Linked DNA regions of Rhinolophus ferrumequinum. The protein of the gene in region 3 interacts with the protein of the main gene of each other region in a pairwise test. Links are inferred from orthologs where the notes say so. Each region holds a gene or a part of one and is shown on either strand. Other genes may lie near its edges.

Region 1 (7,477 bases), on a different chromosome or scaffold from region 3:
TTTGTCGTCTGTCAAAAGGGACTAACCAGCTCTCAGTAATGAGGTATACAACCTTAGAGTACATCCCTCCACTCGCTTAGTAAACCCCAGAGGGTTTTGTAAACCAAGAAGTGCTTTTAATTCCAAGTGCTTGGTGCACTTCACCCTCACAAACCTCAAAGTGTTTTTATCTCAAAATACTCTGCAAACCTTTAAATATTTTTTTAATCTATCCCAAAGTGGTAAATCTCCCCCTTGTAAACTTCAAAATGTGATTTTTAATTCCAAAGTGCTTTATGAACCCCAAATGCTTTGTGTCTCTCACCTTCGTAAACCTTTCAGTGACTCTAACCCCAAAGTGCTTGCTTTTTTATCCTAAAAATTTTTAAGAACTGCCAAGTGCTTGACAAACCCATATGGTTCACACACACACACACACACACACACACACACACATACACACCCCGTTTTTTATTTTTTAAATTTCAAATCTACAGAAAAGTTGGGGGAAAAATGTACTATAAGCATATCTGTATTCTCTTTTTCACGGAGCAGGGTTTCTCAACCTTGGCACCATTGTCATTTGTGGGCTGGATAATATTTGTTTTATTTGTACATGGGGCCATCCTTTGCACTGTCAAATGTTTAGCAGCATCCCTGCTTCTCCCCATTAGAGGGAAGTACCACCCCCACCCTGGCCAGTTGTTACAACCAAAAATGTCTCCAGACTTTGGTTGAGAACCACTGGCCTCGCTTCACCACTTGTTAGCATTTTACCACACTTACTTTATTTTTACTTTTGTATTTTTGAACCATATGACAATAAGCTATTGACAACCTGACACTTCACCCCTAAATCCTTCAGCAGATATCTCCTAAGAAGAATGCCTTCTCCCACATGACCACAGTACCATTTTTACACCCAAGAAGTTTAATATCGATGTCAAGCTATTATCTCTGTATTTGTTTGGGAGGGCTGCTATCACAAAGTACCACACAGACTGGGTGGCTTAAATAACAGGAACTTTTTGTCTCATGGTTCTAGAAGCTACGTGTCCAAGATCAAAGTCAGCTCCTTGTGAGAGCTGTGAGGGCGGGTCCTTCTCCTACCGTGTAGTGTTTTGCTCACAGTCCTTGGGGACCCTTTGTGTGTAGATGCATCGCCTCCATCTCTGCTTCATCTTCATGACGTTCTCCCTGTCTGCGCTTCTGTGTCCAAATTTCCCCTGTGCATAAGGACACCAGCCATACTAGATTAGAAGCCACCCTGATGACCTCATCCTAACTAATTAAATCTGTAATGACACTATTTCCAAATACCCTGTTTCCCTGAAAATAAGACCTAGCTGGGCCATCAGCTCTAATGTGTCTTTTGGAGCAAAAATTAATATAGGACCCGGTATTATATTTATTATATTATATTAAGACCCGGTCTTATAGTAAAATAAGACTGGGTCTTACTATAATTTTTGCTCCAAAAGACGCATTAGAGTTGATGGTCTGGCTAGGTCTTATTTTTAGGGAAATACGATAAAATCACAGTTTGAGGTCCTGGGGGTTAGAAATTCAACATATGAATGGGGAGAGGCACAGTTCAACCTATAAGAATCTCCTACAGGACTTCTCAGACCTCAACTTATTAAAATGCAGACTCTGATTCAGTAGGTCTGAGTGGGCTGCAGCCCATAATTTACATATATAACAAGCTCTCAGATGACACTGGTCCACAGCCCACACTTTGAGCAGCAAGGACCAAACAGACCATATTCAAATATCCCTACTGGCCCCAAAGCTCTCTGTAAGGCTGATTTGATTTTGGACCAGGATTCAATCAAGGAGCACATGTAGCAATTGTGGTTATGCTTCTTTAGTAAAGCCAAGAGCTTTTAATCCCGAAGTGCTTTGTACATTTCAAACTGCTTTCCAAACCTCAGAGTATGTTTAATCCTGAAGTGCTTTGTAATCCCAACCGGCATTTTAAACCCCAAAGTGCTTTTGAAACCTCCAAAGCATTTTTTTCAATCCCAAAGTAGTCCATAAACCTCAGAGTATTTTTGAATCCAAAAGCGCTTATTAATCCAAGTGCTTTGTAAACTGCAAACTGAGTTTTTAACTCCCAAAATGGCCTGTAGGTGACAAAGTGAATGGAATATGCCAGTGGGGTCTGAGCATCCTGAGGTTGTCATTTAGAGTTTGAGAGGGTCTCCTTGTCCCTCTTTCCCAGGTACCCAAGACAGAGGACAAGGAAGCCCTGGTGCCTGTCCCAAAGGCCATGGACAGCTTCCACCCGGAGCCCCATTCCCGAGTGGCCTTCTGGATCATGAAGCTGCCACAACGAAGGTCCCACCAAGGTGCCCAGGAGGGTGGCCACTGGCTCAGCGAGAAGCGACACCGCCTGCAGGCCATCCGGGACGGGCTCCGTGAAGGGACCCGAGAAGACGTCCTTGAAGAGGGGACCCAAGGTTCCTCCCACTCCAAGTTGCCTGCCCGAAACACCCACTTCCTATACATTCTCAGGCCCTCCCAGCAGCTATAGGGGTGGGAACAGGGGAACACCTGCATATACCCCCACTAGACCCTACCCCAAGGATCATATGGAAATAAAGTTTCTTCTTACAGCTAGCTGCACTGTCTCCTTTCAGGATATGTCTCCAAACCTCAGCCGACCAGGCCATCACAAGTTTCGACAATAAAAAGATAACTAGACAGTCATAAAATGTTTGGAAATGAAGCAATATACCACTAAAATAATGCGCAGGTCAAATTAGTAAATATTTTGAACTGAATAATAATGGAAAGGTGGCATAAACTTGTGGAATATAGCTCAAGAATGTCTCAGCAAATTATGGCCTTAAATGCATATATTACAAAGATTAAATATCAATAATCTAAAAATATCACTGATCTAAGCACTCAAGACAGCTATAAAAGTTTAATTGAGCTATAACTTAAGATTTAGCACTTTATGTATGTTACCATTACACTATAAACTTCTTAAAAAAAATTTTCAGGGATTACAAAATTACCCAGACCTCAAAAAAGGAAGAAACAAGAAATATGGAAGGAATAAACTGACATAATACCATTATACTAATAAATTATGTTAATAAAATTAATGGGGTCCACCACATGCCAGCCTGTGCTAAGAAAACACTTGGCAAACATTCTTATTGAACTCTCGTAAGACATCATGAGGTGGATATTTTTTGTCCCCATTTTAGAGAAGAAGCTGATATTTAGAAATGTGAAGTCGCTTGCCAAAGTCACACAGCAATGGCACTAGGTTTGTCCGATTCAATATCTCTTTTAACCACTCACCACGTCACCTGCCAAACAGGATTTTTCCCGGGCCTTGTAACAAGCCACCATTAATAGCCAAAATAATAACTATCAATTATTAATAACAAGGATTACCACCTTAAGTCCTCAAGGTGACCTAAGAAGCAATTATCTTCATTTCTGGAAGGAAAACAGGCTTAGAGAGGGTAAACCATTGTACCAAGGTCACAGCTAGAAAGTGGTGGAGCCAAAATTCAAACCTAAGAATATCTGACTCCAGGCCCACCACCTTGTCATCACGCTACACTGCCCAGTACTTAAGAGGCATGGATTCAGTCCCTTCAACTTTTTCTTTTGTTTAGCGTCCACACCAAGCCAGGCATGTTCTAGCCCCAAAACAGTCTCCTACTGCACACAGGTCACATTCCAGTGGGGGTGACAGTAGACAAATATAGAATATGTCACGTTTTGAGACGTTCCATGAGGACCACTAAAAAGTGGATAGTGTGGGCTAGCAGAGAGGTTGAGTGGGTGGGACCGCGTTTGTCCCAAATGCTCTTCCTTGGGAGGATCTTCAATTTTGGATGTAATTCTCTTCCTCTCTCCAGCCAGAAAAGCGAGAATATTTTCTCCGCACTCTCTCCTAAAAGGAGTAAATGAAACAGTTTGGGGAAGAATCCTTCGGGGACTTATTAATACATCTTAACTGGAGCTACAAAAGGGCGCGGGAGTGGTGAGGCAGGACAGGACAAGACATCATTGTGATGGTGAGGGGCAGACTGTCATGTCACGGAACAGATGGCATCACGAGCACGGCTTAGTAGCTGATAAGAAGTGGGGATGAACAAGGGGTCTCTCAAGCCAATTCTCCCTTGCTTGGGCCTATTTCACCGAATCTTGGGGCCGCAGAGAAGACCCCAGCACAGGGGACGTAGCCGCCTCCTCCCTTAATCCTGCCAGCCTTCACCTGCTTGGCCAACACGCATGCGCCCGCTCCACGGGTCTGGGCGCGCGCTGGGGAAGTCCTACGCATGCGCAACTTCGCAGTTGCAGGTACCGGCCCAACTAGCGCGCCCCTTCCTCCGATGTGCGCCTGCGCTGAGGGAGGGGCCCAGACGCGCAGGGGTTTAGACGTCAAGCGCGCTCTCGGTCCCGCCCCCTCCCTTTGCTTTTCCGGTGGGAATAGCGCGCTGGCACCTTTTCCTGGGCAACTGCCGTTCGTCGTCCGTGGCCCTCGGCCTCAGGTGCGCTCTGACTGTAGCGAGGTTCCCCAGATTAGCTCTGTCAAAACCCCTCCCGAAATCCTGGCAAAGCCCCCAAATTATAGGGCAGGGTCCCCAGTATCAGGGGTCTCCTTAAAAGTCCTGAAATCCTGACTAAATCCCCTCAGAAATACTGAAAGGAAGCTACCAGGAGATCTTATAGAAGATCCTCGAAATTTTGTCAGAATCTTCTAGAAATTCTGTCAGTCTTCTCCCTCAGTCTTCTCCCTGCCCTAGACCTCCCCAAAATCCCGTTACGCTCCCTCCCCAAATCCTATCAAACCCCCCAAGTCCAGAAATCTTGTGGAACCCACAAAAATTGTTAGATTCCCCCTCTCAAATATCCGAGACCTGAAATCCACTCATACATCCCCCAGAAAGCTCGTCAGATTCCCCAGAAATCCAGAAACTCAGAGATCCAGTGGGAGATCCTCTTGAAAACCAGTCAGAGACCCAGAAATCCAGTCAGAGACTCCCTAAGTTCCAGATCCCCCTTCAAAAGCCCCAGAATTCCTGCCTGGGTCCTCCTGCTAGAATCTCCCGCTCAGAGGCCCCTGAGGTTGACCAGAGCATCTTAGTCCCTCACCAGGAGTGTGTCCCCCACACCCTGTCAGAAGCTCCCAGTGCCTCTCAGCACCCTCAAAGGGACCCTTCTCCACTCAGGCCCCAGGGCCATCCACCCCCTTCTGCGCGCCCCAGCAGTATCCAAACCCTGGAAGGGTCTCGTTTCAAAGACCGTTTTTTCTAGGATGTTCTAAACGTCGCCAGGAAGTGTGCCCTCCACAGCAGTGGACCCATCTGGCGCCCGGGGAGCAGGGTGTGGGGAGTAGGTGGTGAGGACAGGAGGGCTGAGCAGGTGGGATGAGGACGGGCAGGTCCCCGGCCGCCCTGTGTTGACCGTTTGCCCCAGCGTACTCAAGTGTGATGGGCACTATTGTCCAGTGTAATTATTAAATCGCACCCCTTTCACTCTTGAAAGTATCCTGGAGTTGGGGCAAGAAGTCTTATGGTCAACCTGGTTATAATGGAGGCAGGACAGGACACGGTTGGGGCACAGAGGAGGGAATCCCTAATTGCTCCGAGGACTCCGGAAGCCTCCCCAGGGAACTGGGGGCCAAAGCAGGGGCCACAAGTGGAGACGGTGTGTGTGGTATGTTCTGGGCCTGGGAGGACCATGGGAAGATGCTAAATGCCCACGGTCGGGATGAGGGCGAGGGGCCTGGAGGTCAGCCAGTGGAGAGAAAAGTGATTTAAAAAATAAAAAGCAAGGAGTTGCAGGGACTATTCTGTGCCACACTAGCCAGAGGAGCTAGGCCTTAGTGCTGAGGGCACTAGGGAGCCATGGGAGGGCTGCGAACAGGGGAGCGATGGGCTCAAACTCGCGTCAGAGGCCGACAGTTCCAAATACGGGCTGACAGTAGCCCCGGGCAGTGAGGGACCCCACAGACAAATGTTCAGAAACATTTCCCAGAGGAGGGGACTTGCGAGCTGAGACAGGAAGGACTGGGAAGTAGGGTGTTCCAGAGGTGGGAACAGGGAGCCTGGCTTGGGGAGCAGCGCACAGTTCAGAGTTGCTGGAGCAGCAAGTGTGGTTTGGGGTAGAGAGGCAGGCGGGGCCAGGCCATGCCGGGCCTTCGCCAGGTCCAGGGTCGAGGCTTTGTCCCTGGGATGCTAGGGAGCCATGGAAGAGTATTGAACAGGGGAGGGGCAGGTCAGCTCTGGGGCCCGGTGGGGATGGACAAAAGTGGGAGACTGGAGGCTGGGAGGCCAGAAAGCAGGCTGGCATGAGGGCCCGGGGAAGAGGGCGAGGCCTGAGCCAGGGCCCTAGGAAAGGAGAGGAGGGGACGGGGTAGAGTCATTGGGGTGGAGGGACAGGGCTGGGGACTTGACAAGCTGTGGAGAGGAGGCAGTGACCCCCACTCATTAGGCCCCCTTTGATCTGTGCCACTCACTCCTCCAGCCCCCCTTTGCCAGCCCCCACCGCCAATCCATTAAGTAGGTCTGAGCCAGAGCTGCTGTGATGGAGGCAGGGGTGGGCAAACAGGTTCTGAGAGCCCAGAGCAGCCTGGGGCACAGGTGGGTCCCCAACTTGGGGTGGCTGGTCTGAGGAGGTCATTCCCCTGCTCTCCTCCAGGAGCTCTCCAGGCAGCTGGTCCGTTTTCCGTCCTTCCCAGTGATGGAGGGAGGCTGTTAGCATCAGCAGCAGCTGCAGAGCGAGGAGGGTGTCCCATGGACCTGCCAGAGAGCCTGGAAGGCAGCCCTGCTACAAAAAGTAGGTGGCTGGGCCCCCGTTTGCCCCGTGGGAGGATGCGGGAGCCGTGGGTGAAGAGGCGCCAGGCTGTGACTTGGAAGAAGTGGCTTGGGGTGGCTGAGGCTCCGCCTTGGTGCAGGGTAGGAGGGAAGGAACCTGCTGTGTGCCTACCTGTCTGGCCCCTTGTCCCCTTTCCTCTGAGGAGGCCAGAGCAGAAGCCTGTGCCTGTTGTGTCCCCTGCCTGGAGCACCCTTTCCCGGTGACCCACGGGCTCACCCGTCTTCATTCAGCTCTCATCTCTCTGTAGCGCAGCTGCCCTGTCACTCTCTCCTCTTTCCCGCTTTACATCTCTTCATAGCACTGACACTGGTTTGTCTGGCTGTTCAGTCTCCGTCTCCCCCACTAGAGCAGGAGCTCCACCAGGCAGCTATTTATTCACTCTGGTCTTTCCAGTTCTCAGAGCAGCACTGTCTGACGCACGAGCTGTATATGTAATTTTAAATTTTGTTAACAGGCACATTTAAAAGAAAAAAGAAACAGGCAAAATGTATGGCAATAATAGTTTTGATTTAACCTAAAGTAGAAAGGTAGTATCCTTTCAGCGTATAATCAGTATAAACATGTATTGGAGATATTCTCTTTTTTCTTACAAGTCTTCAAGATCTGGAGTGTGCTGCACACTACTAGTGCATCTCAGTTCACACAC
Region 2 (7,830 bases), about 8.9 Mb from region 3:
AACCCTGCCCTTTTGCCAGAGGACGGCATATTGCTCATAAAACAAACCACTTAAGCCGACTAATGAAAGGGTCTTGTCCTATTGAGCCTTGGAATCAGCCCCTGTGCTGGCATTGAGCCCAGGAAGTCCCAACCTCTTTCTCCAGTTCCCCTTCCAAGTACAGAAAGTCCCAAGTGACAATTGGGGGTCACCTTCTGCCTTTAGGAACCTTCCCTCCCAGAAGGGGCTGGGTTTTTCCCTTCAGTGTCAACAGCGAGTCACAGATCCAACCTTCTCCAGGACAACATTAGTCACCGTACGGAAGGTGCATCACCACCAGGGCACAAGTCTGGGCCACTCAATGGGCTACAGGATCCAGGTGCCCTTTCTCCAACCCCAGAGGAGACACCAGGGACCAATGATCCCTCCAGAAAGGGACAAAAGAAAGGAAATAATGGCAGGGCAATTTGCCCTTCTTGGGGCCTGAGGAGCACAGGTAAGGAGCAATGACAAGCTAAAAGGTAGGAGGTGAGAGCTGGGCAATCAATAGCCTCTGCTGCTCAATTTGGGGAAGGAAATAACAAAGGGCAGGTTTGGGGAGGGAAAGTCCCCTCTTTTCCCCCAGTCTCTATGGGAGGAGTCTTGAGGCTAAGAGCACTCACCATAAAAGAGTCGCTGGGGTTCCTCAGTCACCCCACAAGGCAGCATGACACCCTGGCTTGGGGAGGCTGGACTGAGCGTCTGGGTGGCCTTGTCTTCCTGGCTGGTGGGTCGCAGCCCAGGGCCACAGCAGTGGGTGAGAGGGAAGAGCTGCAGACGGCTGAGGGGGCAGTCCAGCTGGCTCTGAGCAAACAGGTCAGCAGAGGGCAAGCTCCCAGGCTGGGTCCCCAGATCCCCATCCTCTGGCTGAAACACATCATCCTCCAGCTCTTCCACACACTGAGGCGGCTCCATCTCCCCTGTTAGGGCATAATAAGGCATCCAGGATGCTGTCCCCACCCAGGCCAACCCTGGGCCTCCCCCACCTTCTTCCCTGGTCTCCCTTCTTATCTGGGGAAGTGGGGGCAGGTACTAGTGACAGATGACCCTGGTGGTAAAGCACAGCCAAGGGTGACATCCATCCCCAAATCTGGACTGCCTCACTGTTCAGTCAGGGACTTGCAGCACCACTTTCCTGGGCCCACTCACAGCTACCCTCCCCTCGGCCTCTTCTTCTGACCCAGCTGGTCAGTCATGAAGTTTGCTTCATGCATACAGGGTACCTGGGGAAATGTTAACAAGGCTAGCCTCTCTGAGTGGCTGTGGGAGGGCAGAAGGGTGCTGTGACTGGCTGTACACAAAATACTCACAACTAACTAACTCTCTCTCTCTCTTTCTCTCTCTCTCTCCTTTCTCTCCCTCCCTCTCCCCCCCCCCCCCCACCACTGCCCTGGGGAGTAACCACCAAGTCTGAGCTGAGCTCCAGGCTCAGCAGTAAAAACAAAAGCCAGCCAGCAATCATAGGGCAGCCAGGTTCCCTCCAAACCTGCTAAGTCCCGCCCACCTGCCCATCTACTCTAGTCTCCACCCCCTGCTTGCTCAACACAACAAACAGACTCCTTGGTGTGGTAAGGGTGTCCTGGGAGAGAGAAGGGAGAAAGACCCAAATTAGTCATTGCAGCTGCCCTCTCAGATAGAGCTGTCTACCCACCACAGCTTGGCCAAGAGGGTAGGTCCAGCATTCAGCAAAGTGACCAGCCTCCCCCAGCTCAGTCTATTCACTAGTCTCCGTGACTTTAAATCCTTCACCATAGCCAGCCTACCATTCCTGCCAGTGCTGAACCTGGGATTGGTACAACCTGCCTCACAGAAGGAAGTGAAATTCAGCCCTTTCTCCGTGACCTCACTCACTGGCTATACAGGTTGTTGATGAGTTTCTTGGTAATAAAGAAGTTCTTGCTCCACTTGTTGGCTCTTGGAAGTCTGAGCTTGGAGCCATCCAGCATCTTGAGATCCGAACCCAGACCCCTACACACATACACTAGGAACCCCTCAAGGCCCCTGGGGCAGCCAGAAGCAACAACCACCTGAATAGGTTAAGGATACAGAGAGACAATGTTTGTCACTGCCAGATTCTATTAGATTCCCTGGGAATTCTGTCTCCCAGTCTCTTGCCTTTGAAGAGCAAGCCAAAGGGTCTGTGGGTTGGTAAAGTACTTAAAGAAATCCCGGTTAAATTCAGAAATCCTGGCTTTCCTAAATGCAAGCTGTCTCTGAGGTGCTTGTTTCAACCCCCTCCATCCCATCTATTCCTGGAACTATCTATGGTCCTATCTCTGCCCTCATCCCTGGAGAGTGAGGAGATGCCTACTTGGATGGCAAAACAGGCACCTGGTGTTCTTTCAATAGTGTTTCCCAAAGGAGGCGTGGGGTGGGAGAACTCCAGCTTATCAGCACCAGGAAACAAAGTTTCCCGCTTAAAGGAAAGGCTGTCCTGCCAGTCACTGGCAGGGGCTCCCCTCCAGCCCTTCAACCTCCTCTCAGCAAGCTGGCGATCCCAACGTAAGAAGGGACCCTCCAAAGCCAATCACAAGCAGGAGTCATTGTCTTGGTTCTTCCTTTGAAGCCCGTCACCTCCCCATCCCCCTCCCAGCAAAGCCCCAAAGTTCAACCCCAAGCCTGGACTGGACGGTGGGGGAGGTGCAGCCAGAGGGTGTGGCTCTGCCACGGCGGGAGGGGGTGGGGGGGGCGGACGGGGACCCGTCCCACTCTCCACAGGAACTGCAGGTGGGCGCTTCCAGTGGGGTGCTGGGCAAGGTCAAGTGTAAACTGACCTGAGCAAAAGGGGTGATGTCCAAACTGGTAGGAGGGGAACACTTGCTGAGAGCACGGCCAGGGTAGGCTATATTGCTAGCAAGGGGGACTAAAGCTCGCCGGAGCCATCCCAGCCCCTAAGGACTCTTAACAGGGATGCTGAACTTAGACTCCTCCTCGGAGAAGGCAGTAGCCAGATACTCTGAACTTCGACAAGGGCTAAAATCTGGTCTCTCTCTCTCTCTCTCTCTCTCTCTCTCTCTCTCTCTCTCTCTCTCTCACACACACACACACACACACACACACACACACACTCACGCACTCACACAACACACCGCCGACCTGGGTGACTCCAGGAGAGAGTCTCGGCCTCCGAGTCGTGATGCCAGGGCTCCGCGCCAGGGTCCAGCGTGACGAGCACTCGGGGGCTTGGCGCCCAGACTCAATTGGGAAGGAGGGAAAAAGCCCAGCTGTTAAGGAGAGGAGCCTTCAAACTCCGCAGGGAGGCAGGATGCCCCACGACTCCCTGCCCTACCCCAAAGTAAGATCCAGAGGCCCGGCCGATCTCGGGCGCCTAGGTCGGCTCAGCAGTGCACTGCAGGTTCCCCTGCCCACCTGGACCCAACTCCTCGGACTCTCAAATGCTACTACCCCTAAGTTGCCTGGTGGAGCAGCGCACCTAGATGTGGGTTCTTCACCCCGTTCCCGCAGCCCAGCGCCCCAGTACTTCATGGTCACCCCACACGCCTGCAGCCCAACCCTTCCCGGGCCCCCACGCGCAGCGCGACTCCTCTCCCCACTTCCCCGAGGAGGTGCGATCCAACTCCGCCCGGCTCCCGGCCGCCCGGGCGCTCACCCGGCTGCGGCGAGAAGTGGGAGGCGGGAGGAGCGAGCAGGGGACGCAGCGGCAGCGGCCGGGCGCGCCCGGGAGGAGGCCACTCCGCACCGCGCGGTATTGTTTCCAAAATACGCCCGCTCGGGGCATCCCGCAAACAGCTGATGAGGCCCCGCCTCCGGCGCGTCACGCCTACCGCTGGCCAATGATGAGTGGAGCCCCAAGTCCCGGGCTGGGCGACTGCCAGGGACAGTCACGAATCTACGAACCTCCCCTTGGAAACATTGCAAGGGGCCGAGCAAAATTCTGACCCCCGCCAGAAACGCAATTGGTGCGCCGTTGCCCTCGCAGACTCGGTTCCTAATGCAGGCTAGGGAAGCACAGCCCTCTCCATTAGGAGCGAACAAGGAGGCGCCAAAGTGACTTGTCTTCTCTTTCTCGGGAATAGGCTGAATAAATACTGCGCGTCCCTAAAGGGAGGGGAGGAGGAGAGCGGGAGCTTTTAAACGCGACTGGCAATGTCCAGTGGTTGCAAGTGCGGGTCCCTGCGGATCCCGGCAAGGTAGCAAAGCACCCTCCCGCTTGCGGAGCGGGTCTGGAGAAAACTCCAGCCCCAGATCTGTAGGAAGCATGAGAACACGTATGTCCGGTGCTGTTACTCAGTGACATTCAGATCAAACTCATCCAAAGGAACCCTCATGTCCTCTTCTTGACTGGGCGTGAACACAAAATAGGCATCTGTTTGAGGAGAGAAGAGATCAAGAATGCAGGCGCTGCTTGGGCAGTTGACACACATCCTGTTTATGGCAGCCTCCAGAGAGAGTGCTGGGGCTGCCAGGAGAGCAATGGGTCCCGCAAATCATATACCATCAGTAAGGGAATCTCTGCGCTAGGCCCAAACATTTATTGAGCACCTACATTGTGCCAGATACAGGTGCCAAAAACTTGGTACCTGCTCTCAGGAAGCTGACAATCTACTTGGAGAGGTAGACTTGAAAATAATGGAAAGCAGTATGAAATGCATTAATTTCTGGGATAATGACTAATGGGAGATGCAGAAAAATTCAGAAGGCAAAGACTAGGGAAGGCTTCAGGGAGATGGCTTTTGAGTAGGGTCTTGAAGGACCCTTGAAGGAGAAATTTTTCAATAAGAAAAACCAGGTGAAACAGCCCAGGCTAGGGGCAGCAGAATAATGTCCTGAACTGGAGAATCTGCCCGGGAGCAGGTGAGAGGACAGGATTACTAAGTACACACTGGGAGTTAAGAAGGGTGAGCAAGGACAGGTAGATTCAGGTCAGAGTACAGAGGTATCTCTACAATGCCAGGCTGAGGAAATGCACTTTATTCTGGAGGCACAGGGGAGCCAGGAAAGATTTTATGAGTGACTTAACCAAGACTGAATTTTAGGAAAGACAAATGAAGAGGCCAGAAATCAGTGAGAGGGAGCCAGTTCCTGCAACAAACGAAGTGATCAATGATGGGGGCCAGACTCCAGGGGTGGTGGGGACTGGCTGTCCTCTGACCACCAACCCGCTATCTCTGGGTGAGAAACTCAGACAGATTTCAGTAGCGTTGGGACCCTTAGCCCAGAGGAGCCTGAAGTCACCTTGTATCTTTTCCCTACCCATTCTTTCCCCTAGCTCCCTCAAAGGGCAGCTAAAAGAGAGCGAAGCAGGCATTTTGAGAGCTGTGGTTGCTAGAGTAAGAAAACACTATCCCCAAAGGAGGGAGAAGAGGGAAAAGGGAAAGAAGGGAGAGTCAAAGTTGGCTAGCATCCCAGTCCCCGCCCACCCTACCCCCTAAGAGTTGACAGATATCCAGAAAAAGGTATGGGAGCCAAAAGGAGGTACATTACCAGGAGGCTTGGCCAAGAGGGAGTGTCAGAACTGGTCAGAGTGACCGAGCACTCATGCCACATGTGGGCAGATGAGGAGACAAAACCCCCAGCCTCTGTGCAGGGCTCTGGGGAGCCCTCGCCATGTTCACCACACAGAGTTCTCCCTCCCCTCCTTCTTTCCATCCTTATTAGCTTTCCTCCTGGGCCAGTGTCTCACGCTGGCCAGCGATGAACATGGGAATTACTTTGGGTCAAAAGTGGCACTGAAAGACAAAGTAGCTCTGAATTTGTCCTCTGCCCTTCCCCGCCCACCCCATCGGCCCTAGGGAGGGGGGTGCAGGGGTCACCCTAATTCTCCTGACCCACCGGAGCTGCTAAAGCACTGTCTGCTTCATCACAGCCCTGTAAGGTGGAATTGGGGTCCACAGCGCAAGGAAGCTGGTACAGCAGGGTTTTTACCGCATTTCCCTGAAAATAAGAAGTAGCCGGACCATCAGCTCCAATGCATCTTTTGGAGCAAAAAGTAATATAAGACCAGGTCTTATTTTACTATAATATAAGACTGGGTCGTATAATATAATATAATATAATATAATATAATATAATATAATATTGTAATATAATATAATATAATATAATACCAGGTATAATATAATAATATAATGTAATACCGGTTCTTATATTAATTTTTGCTCTAAAAGTCACATTAGAACTGATGGTCCAGCTAGGTCTTATTTTCGGGGAAATACAGTACCTGGGATCCATGTATTCTCCAGACTCACCAGGGTCTCCTCAGCTTTAGAGTCTGTCAACCCCTGAAACTGGCTAAATTGTGTTTGTGGGTTCACGCATTTTTGGAGGGGGGTGGCTCTGTAGCTTACAACAGTTTCCTAAAGGGGTCTGTGATCCTATAAAAGGTTAAAAATCACCATTGCAGGGAAATGGGGCTGGGGAGTAAAGGGGAATCATCTTAGTGGGTCTGGGCAGTTTGCAAGATAGAGGGAGGGGCACACCCTCTAGGGACATTTCTTCTAAGACTTCTCTCCCAGGCTTTCCCAGGCTGTTCCCTCAGGCTGGTTCTAAAGGACACCTGGTGGCTTGGCCTCCTGTGCGCTCAGCCTCTAAGGTCAAGCAGCAGGGGCCCAGCCTTCTGAGCCAGAGGGACCAGTAAAGACTGTCAGGGATAAAGGGGTCAGGGAGGTCAGGATCCTCACTCCCCACCTCTCACCACTGTCAAAGCAGGCCCCTCCCCCTGTGCCCTTTCTTCCCTTCTAGCATAGGGCAGACTCAGCAGTGTCAGGACCTGCGGGACTGGCAAGCTGGGCTCTGAGCCCCCTGTCTAACAACAGCACCCTAGGAACGGACGAACCCTGAGCTTTTGACTGGGCTCAGGGCAAACACACATTGCAGCCCAAGCAGCCTTTCTTGTGGAGAATTTCCTTTCCCTCTTTCTCTTCCCACCCCTTGCCCCAATTTGTTTTTTCCTCTGCTGACTGATGCTGGCTCTAGAAGGAGGGTCCACAGAGAAAGGCAAAGTTGCTCTGAACGGCATCGGCATCAGCCTGCAGGCCTGAGAGGGAGGCAGACCTTCCCCCACAATCTGGGAGGGACACAAAGAGTTAAGGGGAGCACTTTGAACAGAAGAGAAAACCCAGCTCCCTGTAGACAGCAGGCAGGAGCCCTCTCCATTGTTTCACCTGGCTATAGGATTTCTCTCTGAGACAAGGAATGAGCTCTAAAACTCCAGTAACTAGATCACTGGGAAGGGAGGTTTTTAAAAAACCAGCTGACAGCTGAATAATAGGAATTACCAGGCAGGCCGCCCTGGGGTTACTGAGGTTTGTAACTCAACCCCCAGGGAGGGGTTAGATTGGAAACTGATTTATGGGTAAGGTGGGGGTCTTGGAGGGAGAGCCCATAGTGCTTGATTGCCTTGCCTCTTAACTCCCTCCAGGAGAGATCCTGAATGTAAGAAAGACCAGAACCTGGAAAGCTTGGTGTCCTTCCCACACTGGACTTGTTCTAACAGAAGGAATTTATCTCTTTGTGCATCAGTCCATCTGCCTGCAAAGCAATAGTCCCTCTCTTCTGAGTTGCAGAGGTGTGTGTGTGTGTGTGTGTGTGTGTGTGTGTGTGTGTGAGAGAGAGAGAGAGAGAGAGAGAGAGAGAGAGAGAGAGAGAGAGAGAGAGAGAGAGAGAGAGAGAGAAGATAGCAGGACAGACAGATTGGCTTCTGCTAATTGGATAAACAAGTACAGAGACTTGATTTCCAGTCAAAGAAAATAGAAAAAGCAGGTACTGAAGATAAAACGTTTGGGAATTCAGAAATCTGGATGTAAAGGGAAATGCAGAGACTGAGGCTGCCATGCTAAAGCCCAGTGGAAC
Region 3 (8,025 bases):
CTTTTCCTCTGTCATATTTCTCATCCTTGGCTTTGGGTGTGGGGGGAGGGCTTTGCTCTTCTCTCCAGTGCTTAAGGAGCATAATGTAACTTAGATGGCCCCCTTAAGGAAGAACCCCCACCAACGGGGAAACTAGGGGCTTCTACCCAAGCTCTTCCCTTTAACTACACCAGCAACTGGTGCTGGGTGCCAGGGAACTAAATCGCTGGGCCCTGGTAACTTTCCCTACCATTACCCCAAATGGTGGTGGGATCTTGTGGAGTGTCTTATACCAGGGCTGCCCAACTCCTCCATGTTTCCTTCCCACTCAACGTTTGCGTATCCAGAGGACTCCAGTAACAGGGAATAGGACCTTTAAGAAATGAAATGACCAAGAAATGGGGGGTATGAGGGAAGAACCTTGTCGCTGGGTCTTTTGCCACCCTTAGCCCAAAACAAACAATACTTCAATATCCGATGATATACATTCTTTTCATATTTCAACTTTATTTCAAACATGAGGTGTTTTATCCAGAAGGGAGAGCAGGTACATAAGGCAGCTGAAGTGAGGCACAGTACTAGCGGGTCTGGGGCCCAGTGAACAGGGCTGCACTATGAAGGGGGTGAGGAAGCTCTGGGAGGGCCTGAGTTCTCCAGGTCTGCTATTCAATGGGTGGATTATTCAGTGTTTTCAGCAACTTCATTTTTCTTTAGCAATATCACCAAAGAAGTGCCACGGCTGGGGACACACAAAAAACTACCAGTCCCTTTTGTTTTTCCTTATGCCTAGATGGGGAAGGGAATGGAAACTAGTAGCAAAAATGAAACATTTCTGATGTTATCCTTTGCCATGAAAAATGGGGGGATCTAACTGTGCAAAGCCCTATTTTGTACCCTGGAAATGGGATGTGGTCAGGAGGCCTAGGTTAGCCCCATCTCAAGCTGCACTGAAAAATCATCTGACCCTGTTGGGAGTCACTTCTCATCTTTGGATCTGTGTCCTTACTCGTGGAGGATCCAGTGATCTCTAAAGACAAGCCTTCCCAGGTCTGATTCTATGACATGTGGATTACAAGAATCCAGAGGACCTCCAGAGAAACACAGGAGTTAGTAGCAAGGAATGTGGGAGTTAGATTGGAAAGTTGAGGGGTTAAGGGTTATGCTGAAGAGAAATGATGAACTACATTCATAACGAGAAACAAAGGAAATGAAGGAAGGCTATCAGACCTCTGAGGTCTGGATGAGAGGAAGGGCAACAGTGCTCCTGCTGTGTTGCTTCAAGGACCCAAGCCCGGCCACGGTCATGGTTTCTCATGGCACTTCCGACTCCACAGCTCACGTTATACCCTAAATTGCTCCTGTTCATCGAGTCATCAGCCTTTAGAGGCAAGTCCCTACCACAATGCCTAACACAACACATCCCTGCAGATTCCCCCAAATTCCTATTGTTTACCTTATCAGATTAGGCTGTCAGCTCACCCCAAGGCCCTGGAGCAGCACTATATGAGAACCAGAAGACTTATGTGTTGGGTCTGTAAAGCTGAGAACGGGGGGCATGAGTGAGCCACAGTATTTCTTACAGAGAAAGAGCTCAGGGAACAATGGATTATCCTTGGTTCCCTGCTTCCAACCAGCTTGCATTTCTCCACTCAGTAATGCCAGGACTCTCAGAGACGGCCAGAGCACAGAGCATCCAGTCCTAGTTGGGGAGCTTTCTAGGAGAAAGTTTAGGCAATTGGCCTGTTCAAGGCTAGTGGTGGGTATGGGAAGGGGGTGGCACACCAATAGGTTGGAGGGTTGACTAAGGCCAGGGGAGAATCCCATTGTATGGAAAGGCTATAGTTCAAATGGGTTCCAAGTTCTCTAGCAGGCAGGCGAGTTAGTCCCTTGCTGATTCTTCAGATCTGGGACACTGGCATAGGAGACAGCAAGCTCCAAAAGGAGCAGATGAAGTTTGGGACCCTCAGTGCATTGCCTTCTCCAAGCCACTTGGGGAGACTGGGAGGATGGGAAGACAGAGCACTATTATAAACTGTGTTATTTTCCTAATAAGATGATATATGGCAAGGTTTTTAATGGAAAAAATATGTAACATCATGTTTATGCACTGGAGCTCTGGAGATTTTTTGGGTTCACAATCCTAGCTCTGCCTGTACTAGCTATATGATCTTGAACAAACTACTGAGTTTTTCTGAGCTGTTCCCTCTTCTCTAAAACAGGGATGATATTACTCAACTCCTGGGGTTATTTTGAAGATTATAATGCAAGCAAGATACCAGATTTAGTGGGTAAGTAAATGTGAGCTATTATGATTGTTAATACAACATAACAGTAATGCACACACATTAAGCAAGATTACTACACCCTGAGCCTTGACCCAGTCTCCCTCTCCATCATCCTCCCTTGGGCTCTTCACTGATAACTAAGTGCATTGCTTGGTGGCTTCCAATACAGTTTCATTCTTCACTCTGCTGGAACTTTGACCCGAAGGTGATCCATAAGATGTATGAAATTGTTTTCACCAGGTAAGAATGATGTTTAAATGGCCCTTTGTTTGAGGAATGACTCAGAGTTCCTCTTTTTCAGGCATCTTTCTTCAAAGGATTAAGGCTTTAGGTAGGATGGGCATGGTAACAAACCCCATACTCTATTCTGAATGCTTGTACAGGTACACCTGATGCACTCTCTCACTTACTGATAAGGAAGAAGGGGATCCAGACATTTTTCTTTGAGAAATCAGTAACAGATATAAAGGGGTGGGGAGCTGGTTACCTGGGAGCTCCTTGTTCATTTGCATCAGGAACTGCTTCTTTTCCCTCTTCTCCCTTCTAGAAGACTGTTAAGGAGGAGCCTGAAGGAGGAAGGTGGATCTACCATGGTCTTGGAGAAAAGCAAGTAGGTTCTCCACCCCTTCTGGAGGGACAAGGAATAGCACAGATCAACAAAAATGAGAAGGAAGCAATTGGAAATAGAGAAAATGAAGGTAAGTACTCTATTATGCTAAAAGAAAAATGGAAGTGAAAAGAGAGGGACAAGAGAAAAGCAGAGCTTAGGAATAGGGTAAGAGGGGGGGGGAAAACCCCAACAACTAGCAGAGGTTAACCAGGAGAGACATATGGCATGAATGTGTAGGGGTAAGAGTCCAGCTTTCCCATTTCACTTGCTCAGGATATGGAGCACACTGCCATCTTCTGGTGCCATTTAATTTTCAAGTTGTTTTGATTCTTGAAGTGCTTTCTATTTCTTATACACGTAATCCCATATCCTCACAAGTTCCCCAACATTATTTCCTTTCATCTTTGGGACTCCCAATCATCATTTCCCCCAAGAGACCTTCCAAAAGCTGTCTCAGAGCATCCAGGCTGGAAGTCTGTGAGGGCCAGAGCAAAAAGCAAGAGGCAGAGGATGAGCTGTGGTTTGAAAGAAGCCTTAATACCCAGAAGCTGCAGGCTGGTTTGGGGAGGCTTCCTGGCCTTGGAACATTTGTGTCAAAAACTGGAGGACCCATCCTCAGCCCCAACCAAACACTCGGGGTGCTGTGCATTCTGAACTGTAGCACTCCAACTGTAGGGTGGAGAACGTGGCTTCTAATCTACACTCTGCTACTCACAGATCATAAAATGTCAAAGCAAGAAAGGGCCAAAAGAGATCACCTAAACCAAATCCAATTTACCCAGGAGGAAACGGGGGCCCAGGAAGGTGAAGGAACTTGCCCAAAATTATACAGCTAGTCAGTGACTTCCTAGTCTTGAGCAGAATCAGAATAGTGATTCTTGTGATTCACAGTCCGTTGATAAATACAGTCCATAAAGTGCTTAGAGGTCATTAGAAGGCACCCAGAACAATAAGGCTGGCATTTTTCTGGAAGCCCCTGAGTGTAGCAACCCATTAGCCGCCGCGTTATTTGGCTACAAGCACAAGTCTGGAGTTGGTTTTGTCTTCATTTACACACCCCCAGGGCTGCAAAGAGGCTGGAGGAGGGAGCTCTGACTACTATCTCCCATCACTCCCCATCCAGTTCTCCAATACCCAAGCCAGGGACTGTCAGGGGTGACAAGGGAATCCTGTCATAATGCCAGGGATTGGGGAGCAATGGCCAGTTTCTGGGATTTCAGCAAGGCAACTATAGCTGAGTTAAAGCTAGGATGGACAGGGTTGGGGGACCTGAGATGGCAAAGGTAGATAAGGGAAAGAGCCAGCAATCTAAATGACTTCAACTGAGGGGGCTGCTACTTCACGCAACACACCAGCTCAGCCCCAGAGGGCTGCCCTAACCTTCCACTGCCTAGGCCCGCCGAACTTTCTCCCAGTGCCTGCTCACGGAAGAGAACGTCACCATACTCCTTAGTTTTCGCTTTTTTCGAATCCTCCTAGCGCCCTTTCGGGTCTCCTTTCTCCGGTACCTTGGGTTCCGTCTACTCACATCTAATCGGTGTTTTCCACCCCTATCTCCCCGACCTTCGCTGATTCCACCCACTCCCCAAACCCCTTTGATGTCTCCCGCACTTGACTCTCTCGGACAGCAGCCCGCCAAATCTTTGGGCACCCCTAGCCCCCAGGTGCCTTTGGTTTTTTCACCGTCGGCCGCAGGCGTCTCAGATAAAGTGAATCCAGCCCTGAGGCTCCGGGGTTCCAATACTGCCCGGGTGCTCGGGCCCACGTAGAGCATAGTCACGGCCGCCGTTGTTGTCCCAGAACTCGTGGCCTGTCACGCGGTAGCGCAAGGCGAAAAGCAGGGCGCCCCCAACGGGCGGCGCGGGCAGGCGAAAGGCGAAGCGGTCCGCGCGTGGAGGGGGCGGAGCCGGGCCGGCGTAGGCCGCGGGCGCCTCGCGTTGGCTCCGCCACCCGTCGGCGCTCCAGCGCACGCTCACGCGCTTCTCGTAGGCCAGGTCCAGCACGCGCGCGCTCCCGGCCACGCCCAGCGGGCCCGCCTCGGCGCGTTCCAGGCAGATACGCTGCGCCTGCAAGCGGGCGGCGAAGCCGGGCTCGCTGGCCGGCTCCAGGGCGGCGCGCGCCTCCTGGGGACGAAAGAGGGAGAGGGAGCACCGAGCCCTGGCGAAGGGAGGGCAGAGAGGGGCGGGGTCATAGCGAGTAATTGGACCAATCCGACGCCGACCCCGAAGTCCGGGCCCTCAGAGTGCGGCCAAGCTGCGAGAGTGGCCGATAGCCCCTCGCCAATGGGAGCCCCAAAAGGGACGTGCAAGAGCAATCCCGGGGGTGGAGGTGGATATGGGTATTCCTTGATTAATCCACTCCCCCATGCCCGCCGCGGTCGAAATGGGGAGGTCCAGGGAGAGGGCGTGCGTGCACCTGCCGCCTACCTGGAGGCCGCGGGCGCGGGGCTGGCACGGCGCGAAGTGGCGGAGGGCGTCCCTCTGCAGCTGGATCTGCACGTGGCGGGGCACCCGGGGCAGCTCTCCAGGGCGGAAGCGGCGCACGGCGGCCAGCTCCAGCCCCAACGCGTCGGCGAAACGCACTCTTTTACGGGTATCGGGGCTGCGGCTGCGAGGCGCCCGGGCACCGCCGCCTCCGGCGGGTGCGGAGCGAGCCCGGCGGCCCCGACTCGGAATGTGAGCGCGCGATCTGGCCCCGAGGCGCGTCCCGCCCTCGCCTGGCTCCTCCTCCGGCTCCTCCTCGAGGCTGGGCCGCAGGCTGCGGTAGTAGGCGCGCTCAGTCAGCGCGGCGATGAAACTCAGGTTGCGGGGGATGTCGGTGCGGGGGGGCCGCTCTCGAGACATGGCATCCCCCGCCCCGGCAGGGCCCGCCCGCAGCGCCGCCTCTGTGACCTCGCTCCGAATGGCCCACTCGCCTGCGTCCACGCAGAAGCCGCCGGCCCGCTTCAACCGCCCCTCGCAGTTGCGTACTCTCCTTGCTTTCACTTCCAGGATCCTCCACCTCCCGTAGTTCTGCTTTGCCTTGGTGACTACCTTTCCTTCCCTCTTGCCGTCAGCTTCCAGGGTCTTAGACGATCACCTCCTGTCTCCTGCTAGCTGTCTGCTCTGAGCGTGCGCTCAGCAGCACACATCCTCGGGTCTCGCGGCCGTCGCGGCCCAGGCCCCCGCCCACAGCCCTCTGACAGGTGGCTCCCATCTGTCTGCGTTGCTGCACTAGGGGGCGGGGACTCCACCCTTTCCGTCCTGGGTGAGACCCTCTGCCCTTTTAAATTTTTTTTAACGACCTCAACCTTTTTGGCATGGGATGAGTTAATGAAGGATGTAAAGAGTAACATTTCCTTTTCTTGCAGGGGAAGGTTCAAAGCGCTCAGTGTGTGACTTTCTCTGCAGGGCTCACTGTTGTCTAAACTCTAGTTTACAGGTTTTGGTGAGGGGGGGCGTTGCAAAGAAGGGAAGGTCATGAAAACTAGGCAGAATCCCAAATAAAAACAGACGCGGCCCACAAGGGTGGGTGGCCCATTGGAAAAAGTTCTGAACTAAAAGTCGTGGAAAGACAAAGCTTCTGGTCTCACTTCTGGTGCTAGTTAGCGGTGTAATCTTGAGCAAGGCACAACTTCTCTGTAACCTCAGTTTTCTCATCTGTAAAAAAATGGGTTCGAATTCTGATCTCTAACCTGACTAAGCCGTTTGAGGACAGAGCATGTGTCTGATAGTTCATAACAGTAGTAGGCCTTTAAATTATCGAATGAATGAACACACCACACTCTTGGAGCTGGGACTATAGGGTTCTAGTTCCAGTGGGAGGTTCCAAGAAGGGCACAGGGCCGGTGTTTTTCTTCATTTTTTCCTACTTTAGTGAAAAGAGCATGTGAAGTTTTGTTTATTTTTTTTTTCTACTTCCCACTGATCTTATATAGCACTTATAGTTGTAATAGTTTTACAAACATTAACTCATACCGTGCAGCCATCATAGGAGCAGGGAGTCTTATTATGGCTATTTTTACAGATGAGAAAATTGATGGAGAGAGGGACTAAGACTCTTGCCCAAGGTCACATAAGATAATAATTAGGGAGCTGGGATTAGAACCTCAGCAGTCCACCTCTGGAGTCCACTCTCTTATTTACTTGTTTATGTAAGATTAAAACAGTTAATGGTAATAGTTAACATTTTCAGAGTATTGAAGTGGGGAGTCTTAGAATAGAAATGGAATCTCTAAATTTAAAACAGCAGGAGAGTTTAACTGTAAATAGTGACTAAGTTGGAAATAAACAGGGAGACGTATACTACCTTATTATTGTAGAATTCATTCCTGTTTGCATTTTAACTTTAGTATTAACTATAACAATACTGTCAAGCCAGGACTGATTTTTAAAGTGATTCAATTTTATTTTTTTATTTAATAGGTATGTGTATAACCCATGGAATATTCTTTTTATATCTTAGGGTATAAAATAATGTTACACTACTTTGTTTTACAGTCAAGCAGTTTAAAACTGTCTTCCTTGCTCTGGTAAAATATGTCATTAACGAAATAGATAAGGTTCAAGGTTAGCCTATGTGGCGTGAAGTTTTCTGGTAAAAACTCTGTTGCCTTGTCTACTGTTGAGCTGCCATTCCTTGGCTCTGTGGTGTTGGTTTGAGAAGATCCTTGAGGTACACAGCTTTGGACCTGATGTAATTTGTGTTGGTCCAGCACCTTGTTCTCCTGGCAGCTCAGACTGACATTGAACCTTTATTCCAAATCAGTCTTTGTTTCTTAAACAGCCACTGCAGTTATCTTCAAACATCTGACTGGGCCTGCTTAATAACTGCCAGAGGCATTGACTGATTCATTCAGTCAACATTTACTGAAGTTCTGTTAGGACTTGAGGACATAAAAGTGAATAGACTTCAGTTCCTGCTCTCACAGAGCTTATAAATAAATGGCGGGCAGACAGAAATATATTTGGACCCTGAGACTTAAAAATATTTTTATTTCAATTAAATGTCTTAGAAGAAATATTGCAAATGAAGAACTAGACTAGGTTATTCTCAAAAGAAGGCAGCAACCTTGCTGGTAGAAGCAGGAATGATCAGCCTAAGAGCAAAGAAGAAATGAGGATGGTTGAAAGGATACAGTCATAAAAGAGTAGAATAGGCTGTGCATTCAGA

Evidence for each region.
Region 1: the proteins of BCL2L2 (region 3) and KASH5 interact in binary tests that used the Homo sapiens proteins (3 or more experiments, as listed by UniProt). The two-hybrid records come from large-scale screens. The link is inferred for Rhinolophus ferrumequinum from reciprocal best matches to the Homo sapiens genes BCL2L2 and KASH5.
Region 2: the proteins of BCL2L2 (region 3) and BMF interact in binary tests that used the Homo sapiens proteins (3 or more experiments, as listed by UniProt). The two-hybrid records come from large-scale screens. The link is inferred for Rhinolophus ferrumequinum from reciprocal best matches to the Homo sapiens genes BCL2L2 and BMF.

Annotation. Positions count from the first base shown.
Region 1 is NC_046298.1:44,556,737-44,564,213, forward strand, and holds the start of KASH5 (protein KASH5), read left to right. Parts: upstream 1-4,421; 5' UTR 4,422-4,502; intron 4,503-6,654; 5' UTR 6,655-6,749; coding exon 6,750-6,792; intron 6,793-7,477. Other genes in the region: DKKL1 (dickkopf-like protein 1), read left to right, coding at 2,204-2,515. UniProt on the Homo sapiens protein: As a component of the LINC (LInker of Nucleoskeleton and Cytoskeleton) complex, involved in the connection between the nuclear lamina and the cytoskeleton.
Region 2 is NC_046289.1:64,880,958-64,888,787, reverse strand, and holds the start of BMF (bcl-2-modifying factor), read right to left. Parts: upstream 3,034-7,830; 5' UTR 1,997-3,033; coding exon 1,870-1,996; intron 1,200-1,869; exon of another isoform or gene 961-1,199; coding exon of another isoform or gene 939-960; coding exon 642-938; intron 1-641. UniProt on the Homo sapiens protein: May play a role in apoptosis. Isoform 1 seems to be the main initiator.
Region 3 is NC_046289.1:73,759,087-73,767,111, forward strand, and holds the start of BCL2L2 (bcl-2-like protein 2), read left to right. Parts: upstream 1-4,997; 5' UTR 4,998-5,202; intron 5,203-5,300; coding exon of another isoform or gene 5,301-5,717; exon of another isoform or gene 5,718-7,260; intron 7,261-8,025. Other genes in the region: PPP1R3E (protein phosphatase 1 regulatory subunit 3E), read right to left, coding at 4,575-4,997, 5,301-5,717. UniProt on the Homo sapiens protein: Promotes cell survival. Blocks dexamethasone-induced apoptosis. Mediates survival of postmitotic Sertoli cells by suppressing death-promoting activity of BAX.